Linked DNA regions of Elephas maximus indicus. The protein of the gene in region 1 purifies or fractionates together with the protein of each later gene. This does not show direct contact. Links are inferred from orthologs where the notes say so. Each region holds a gene or a part of one and is shown on either strand. Other genes may lie near its edges.

Region 1 (3,748 bases):
TGGAATACCGTAAGCTTATTTGATTGCCATTCAGGGTATGAAACACATTTGACAGCATGATGCACTTACACACAATTTAAATAAAACTGAAACAAAAGTTACCTAACCTTACTATAGGAGATGCATGCTGATATTTCCCATTCTTTTCTATTTCATTTTTTTTAAAATGCTGGCCACAAACCACCAAGCTGGTTTCACTCACAACCTACAGTTTGAAAAACACTACTGAAGAAAATCACAAAGATCTAGAATCATTAAATCCTTAAAAACAATGACTCAGGCAGATGCTCTGAACTTCGCTCTTCCAGGCACCCAACCCCTCACTCTTAATGTTGCCTTTCTGAGCCGTATGCTCACTGGGTCTTCCCAACTTCCACTTTAATTCTCTGTCAACAGAACCTTCTAAATGTAACCACACTGGTAGTTATCACTGATTTGTGTGAACAGACTCTGGGATATATATGATCTAATGGAGGTAGGACTTGATTTTACAGCATCATTAATCCAAAAATGACTGGTTTGTTTTTAAACTTCATATACTTAAGTAACTCTTGAAATCGAACTGAATTTTGGACATGCAGTATTTGAAACCATCAAAGACCTAATTTGGTTGTGCTAGAATAAACTCATTCTGCTCCTCAAATTTATTACATTTCTCAATGATAGTGAAAAACTAGATCAACTACCTGTTTCTCTCCATTTAGGTATACGTAAACCAGAGAATACATAAATTTTGATCATCAAGTCAGACCTAGGCTTCATGCTGAATTGGTAATAGAGGCAAATGGAAAGATGAGACCTACCTTCAGCCAACGTTAGGGCCTCCATAATTTTAACAGGGAGAGAAGATCCAAACGTTTTCACATCATAGTTCATAGACTCAGTTACGGAGTGGTGCAGGAACATTCGTGTCGGTGTTCCTCTAAAGAAAAGCAATCACATTACTTTATTCATAAATTTTCATGTATATAATTTCTAATTAAAGAGTTCATTGACAAATAAGACACATGGAAGAAGAGGCGTGACAATGGGAAGAACTCTGGCTTATGCATACTTGTGTAATCAAATGTAATTTTTGTTAAAAAAAAAATACTATCGGGGTCTTAGGAAAACCTGGCTTTTCAGACCATTATGCTCTAGTAATTGGACAGATGCCTCTAGTCACTTAAAGTCTTTATAACTCTGCTTCCTTAACTGTCAAATAGGAGGGCTGGACTAGATCAGTGTTTTTCAAAATGCAGGTCAGTTTAAGGGTATCAGTCAACATATTTTCCAAAAAATATATATATATATATATATATATATAAATACATACAGTTTATCACATGTTGTGGTCAAAAAGTTTGACAAACATTGTGCTAGATGATCAGTAAGCTCTCATCTAGCTCTAAAATTCTAAGAACCTATCAGGTCTGTGCAGCAAGCATCTGCAGTTACCTGGTCTTCAATAGTAGATATAGCAGTAGAATTATATTCCCTTCTCACTCTCTTCTTCAAATTCAGAATCATGATGTAAAGCCACCATTATAAAAGTTATCCTATCTCTTCTTAGGATTAAATGAGGAGAGGCACATAGAGTGGTCTATAGCTAGAATGGCTTTGTTTCTTGACAGAAGTATTATAACAAGATTTTTCTTTGAACGATCAACAGATGGTAAGAGATTTTTTTTAATTAAATAAAACAGCTTTTATTCTCCAGTTTTTCTAAAAAGGAACAGAAAATAGTGACATCACTTTCAAAAGCACTTTTCAAGATCAAGCATCAGAAGTCAAGGCTATAACGCATTCTTTAAAAATCATTTCTCCTTTAAAGTACTGCCAACACTGTATACATAAAACTTAGCCATGAGTTCCAGACCCAGCATTACCATTTTTCCTCCAGGGGAAAAATTCATTTTTAATAGACAAATTCAGAGGAAACTACTTCGAAATAGATACTACTTTCTTCTAAAGTTCTAGCTTGATTAATGAACATGGAGGGGGGGATGTGGACAGCTGTTGTACATCTGTGTTTGGCTAGAAAACTACTATTATCTTATTCCTTATGGAAAGCCTTTTCCCTATTTAGCTACAAAGTGAAATTCTGTAGCTAAAAGCCCTTTAGTTATTAGAGGTACTAACGGCCTAGGATGTTAGGCACTATAGAATGGTTTTCTAGGGTTGGAGGTCCCCAGTACCACCATCACATCTGCATCGTGGCACTTCAGGACTCCCTTGGCCTTAGTCAAGCAGGCTCCAGGTCAGATATCTCACTAGTGAGAAGAATCCGAGTGACTTACCCCGGGTCACAGAGGTAGTAAGGGGGAGAGGGGTGATCACTGATTCAAATTCACTTTATTCTTCACCACAAAAGTAATTTCCACGAAAAGTGAAAAGCAATGGTGTACACCCGGCCATGGTGTACTGTAGTCGTTCTCAATTGATGGATTAACCAAGGGGGGGCTGAAATAGCAACTGGTAAGAGCGGAAAAGGTCTATTTTCCCAATATTGTGGAATTCCGCCCAAGGTTCCAGAGGCTTGGGGAGACACTACCCCATTGGACCCACCGAGACCCCTGAGCCGACCGGTCGTCGGACCTGCCTGGGGAGGAACACTTACCGCGAGCTCAGCGAGCTCCGCCGGCCGACCGGCGAGAAGAGCACGGGGGAGCTGACTGCAGACCCCAGGGACAGCCCCTTCCTGCTTGCCGCCCGGGGTGTGGAGCCTGGCCCCATCCCGCCAAGCGGGCCCCTTCGGGACCCGGGACCGGGGGTCCGAGGGGAAGAGACAGCCGGGAACATGATGCGAGGGAGCGGAGGCGGGGAGCCCGACAGCTCCGGCCTGTGCGGCTGAGACGCGGCGCGCGCGGAGCTTGAACACCGAGGGGCGGGAGGACTCGCGGTGATGACGTCCAGGCGCAGCGCCGAGCCGGGCCTGCGGGCCTTGCGGGAGCCGCAGCCTTCCGAGCAGACTGGGCCGGGGCGGCGGCCGTTAATGACGTCTAAGCGCAGCGCCGAGCTCGCGGGGCGTGCTCGGAGCCCCTGGAGGCTGACCGGGAGTGGCGGCCATTGATGACGTTCAGGCGCAGGGCCGAGCCCCCTGGAGCGGAGTCCTCTAGCGGGTGGGGGCTTAGGGTTGCTGCCGGAGTTTCCTGGGCCAGTGCGGCGGGCGTCCGGATCATGCAGGGGAGTCAAACTGGAAAACCAGTGGAACTTCCCAACTCTGCTGCCTCCACCTTGAAGCCTTACACAGAGTTGGGTGTCCTTTTATCCTTTGCCCCTCTGCTCCTGCACGTGGGGCATTTATATTTTATCCTCATAATAGTTTAATGTTTTCATTAACTGTCTCTCAAAGCAGGGACGGTGCACACTACAACAGGTGCATAGTAAACCTTCCCTAAATTTTTGCTGAAGTAAGGTAATAGTTAAGTAAACACTGGCGTATCATATGTGGGAAACCACAGTGTGGGTGTCAGATGGTGATATTTCCCTGGGAAATCATTCTTCTGTGCAACTTAATAGCGTCTTTGGTCATCTTGCCGAAGTTATGTAAGCAAACTGGTTTACTCCTCCTACCTAGGATTATAGCCCAGCTTTGCAGCGTGTCTTTGAGTCTTATGGCCCAGAGCAGTTCCTCCTGGTTTCATTCCTACTTGGGAGTGCACGGTGGGAATGGAGAGTAGTCATGTCTGAGAGGGGATTGGTGGGATAAATTCTGTTCCTGTGCTTTGCTGGACTGATTTGTGATTTGCCCACCATTCAGTTATAA
Region 2 (3,748 bases), on another chromosome or scaffold:
TAACTGGCAGAAGGCTGCAAAGCCACACCTTGGCCCATGAATGATCAATAGAAAGGAGTAATGAAAAACACAAACTGTGTCCCTTCCCCAGAGGTGCCCGTGTCCACAACCTCTGTGGGTGGGCTGAATGAATACTTACAATCATGTCCTCGTGGGAAGTATCCACGGTGTTAATTACTGACACCTAGAAGCAAAATATTTTTGGTAAATTAACTGATGGCAGTTAGAATGCAATCTTCTTATTAAACCCACCAACCGTTTCTAAAATTCTTGACTGCCATTTGTTCATTCATTTAACAGTCATTCTTTTTGCCAAGCACTATGCCAGGGACTGGAGACATAGACATGAATAAAAGGTACTCTTTGCCCTTGAGAAGTTCACATAAAATAACCCTAACGTGGCATAAGTAGATGCCGAGGTGGTGGTGGTAGAAGACATGAACCGGGGCTTAGATGATGAGTGAAATTTGCCAAGTGGCACAGGGGAAAAAAAGGACAGTCCAGACAGAGGGAACAATATGAACAAGGACAAAGAGGTGTGAAAGAGCTTGATGTGTGTAGGGGAACAGCAAGCAGTCCAGGCAACCACTGAGGTGAGGAGGACCTTGAGAGAGCTTATTGGTTCCCTTATTGGGTGACAGAGCCCTGATGTTCTGGGCAGTTTCTGTATAACAGGGTTCATACCTAAGACTTGCAGACTTGATTCAAATTCCTTCTGAGGATGCTCCCTGGTCCATCACCTGTGACAGACCTGAGGCTATCACCTAATGGGGTCTAGGACTGAGTAGTTTGTAGGGCTAGAAGATGGCTGTCATGGTCTTTGCCTTCCTACCCATGTTTCAAGGTCCAGCTCAAATAATACCCCCTTCTGGACAATTCCCAGATCCTCTAACTAGGTGCACTCTTCTGAATATCTTCAGCACTGAATGTCTACAACACTCCATGTTATTTCTTCTCCCCACTAGAAGGTGAGCACCCTGGGGTCAGGGTCTGAGTCATCTGCCATGTTTAACCCCCTCATATCATCCAGCACAGTGTCTGCAAACAGAAGGAACTGAGTGACTATTCACTGAATGAATAAATGAGTGAACAAAACTGACCACTATTCTTTAAATTTTTTAGGATGGAAAAGGGCACTGAAAAGGAAGTTTCAATTTGGAACTGATATTTCTAACCGTTTCCCCTATTTCATCTTTCCTGCACAAGCCCTGCAGGGATAAAGTTTGACTTGACTTTTCAGAAAGGTGGACACTGGAAGAGGACGGCTGCAAAGCAGCTCAAAAGGTACACATCAAAAGAGCCCAGGTTCTTTCATCAAATGCTAGACTCCCTAACAAGTGGGTGCACAAGGTCTGCGAAGAGAAGTAAGGACGATAAGAAGAGTTTCCTGTGTGTGCAGAGTTGTCTAGGTTACGAAGAGCTTTCACGTGTGTGCTGGGATGTACGAAAGACAGAGTTAATCAGGGCTGTCTAACAGATTAAGGAATGGAAGCCTAGAGTAGAAAAGCACTTGCTACAGCCACAGAGCTTAGAATCAAGGCCGATCTCCTATCTCCCAGCCCACAAAGCTTCCCACTCCATCAGGCTGCCTATTTAGAACATCCCTTAAATCCAATAGCTGAAGGCTGAACAGATTCAGGAAGAAAGTTTACTGGGAAGTAGTTCTATACCAGATCATCAAAAGACCTTAGAGATAACCAGCGTTTATTTCTAACCGCTCTCATCCACTAGCGAGGGCTGGTTAACAATGCTTCTGAACCAGTGTTGTTGTGTTTTTTAAAGCTCTGAGAGTACCTCCTCCCGAGCACCTGGAGTTATGTGGTCCTTTTTAAGAGGCAACACGCAAAACAATTCAGCTCTTCAGAATCAGTTAATGAGTTAAAAATTCATTTAGAATGAGCTGAATGTCAGAGCATAAGAGACCAGCAGCTGAAGAATCTGAGGCCAAAAGAGGCCGGCGATTTAATACCAAGGCTGAGCCTTCCCCTCTGAGCAAGAACTAAACCCAGTGTCCTGACTTCTGGGTCCACGCTGGCTCCCCCATGCCTGCTGATGAAGCGCAGCCGCTTTCCTGACAGCCTGCGTTTACTGAATCCCCACTCGGGGCCAGACTCGGGCTCAGGCTGGATGCTTTCAGCTCTCAGCTCTCGTCCATCCAGTCTTTCCCTCAACGAGGACGCGTCGCGCGAGTGCACACCGTGGACAGCACGGAGATAGGACACTCAGCCCTGCCCTCGGAGTCCTTCAGTTCATCCCTACGTCAGTTTCCTGCAGTGTCCCTCGCAGCTGGGGTACCTTCGGGGGACCCAGCACCCAGAAAGTCGACAGACATCTTTGCTGGGAGAGGGAATGGCTAAGGGGGTTCGAGTCTCAGCTCTGCCATTCAGCAGCCGTGCACGAGGCTTCAGCTCTCAGAGCCGCGAACTTCCTCGTCCGCACAACGTCGATAGTAACAGGCCGTCCTTCGCCGCGCGGCCGTCACGAGCGACGCCTGGACCTGACTGAGCGCTGGGGGAACAGCAGCTGCCGTGCTGCACTGTCGTTGTCTTTAATTGTTGAGGAGAGAAGGGGAGACGCGGCAGCCGCGCGGCCCGCAGAGCTCCGGGGCGCCGGCGGCCTCACGCGGGCCTCCTCCTCCGCCAGATCCCCCCACCCCGAACCGGCGGCGGGGGCTGGAATCACCCCTGCCCGGGTGGGAGCCTCAGCGCGGCCGAGGGACCAGCGAAGGCCAGCTCTGTCAGGACAGCGACCGGGGCCCGAGCCCCACTCGGCATCGCCGGCCCCGACACTCACCATGGCTGGTGCGGCGGCAGCTCCCGGCCTCGGACGTGGCAGCTCCCGGCGGCACCTCCGAACGCCCCACTTCCGGCGCCGGCTGGCAGGCCGTCGGGCCGTGGCTCAGGAGCCTCCGAGCAGCAACCCGCTCCGGCTCCCACGAAGGTTCCGTGCCTTCCCGAGGCCGCGTCCCGCCCTCCCGCTGCCCCGCCCCTTAGCCTCGTCCTCGGGAAGCCAAGGCGGGACGGCTCTGGTTTCCACGGCGTTCCTGACCCGGGACCGTTTGGAATCTGAAGCTCTGTCTCGCCTACCTTCCTGAGCAGCCCTTCCCTTTTCTTCAGACGCATCAATGAAAGAAAGGATCCTTAACTCCAGCTTTTCCAGCCTCCCTGCGGTTCTGGGTGCGACCTTATGATGAACTTTGTAGGTCGAACAATTTGGGGGCGGGGGTGAGTAGATTGGTGCTAGCCTCCCTTTTTGGTTAGCCCATCCTCAGGACCAAGGGCTGGGACAAGGGGCAAAAAAAGCTGAAACCTCTTGCCCCGCCCTCCCCAAGCCGTAGGTCCTGCGCCTCCAAACTGCTCCTTCTCCACAGCAGTCCCGGGACCCAGGAGTCTGGCCCACCAGGTAGATCCCCAGGCAAGGAGAAGCCAGGCTCCTGCAGCTAGAGCCCGGGACCCAGCCCCCAGTTTTCCAGCCCGCTCCCCCGCTGCCCAAAGGAGGGAAGCTGAGGGCTCCCCACAGGCACAGGGAGAAACGCTGCGCTTCTGGCCAGAGCCTGAGGCCCAGCCTTAAGCCACCTCGGGACTTGAAGGAGGCAGGGGACCTAGAGTGGAGTCTATGCTCCCCTTGGATAAGTCACAATCCTTCAATTTCCTCCCTTGAACGTGAGGAAAAGAACCCTAGCTGGAGACAGTCACTGCTTGAGGGAAGATGTTAAAGCTCAGAGAGTGTAACTGACCCAGACTGGCAA

The links. Proteins that work in one complex are often made in the same cells at the same time.
Region 2: the proteins of NUP133 (region 1) and SEC13 purify together in Homo sapiens (affinity purification with mass spectrometry; 4 studies listed by BioGRID and IntAct, counting the BioPlex papers as one, with this or other methods). This does not show direct contact. The link is inferred for Elephas maximus indicus from reciprocal best matches to the Homo sapiens genes NUP133 and SEC13.

What each region holds. Positions count from the first base shown.
Region 1 is NC_064821.1:210,143,824-210,147,571, forward strand, and holds the start of NUP133 (nuclear pore complex protein Nup133), read right to left. Parts: upstream 2,964-3,748; 5' UTR 2,782-2,963; coding exon 2,600-2,781; intron 1,705-2,599; exon of another isoform or gene 1,438-1,704; intron 923-1,437; coding exon 804-922; intron 1-803. UniProt on the Homo sapiens protein: Involved in poly(A)+ RNA transport. Involved in nephrogenesis.
Region 2 is NC_064838.1:35,210,365-35,214,112, forward strand, and holds the start of SEC13 (protein SEC13 homolog), read right to left. Parts: upstream 2,899-3,748; 5' UTR 2,797-2,898; coding exon 2,794-2,796; intron 185-2,793; coding exon 140-184; intron 1-139. UniProt on the Homo sapiens protein: Functions as a component of the nuclear pore complex (NPC) and the COPII coat. At the endoplasmic reticulum, SEC13 is involved in the biogenesis of COPII-coated vesicles.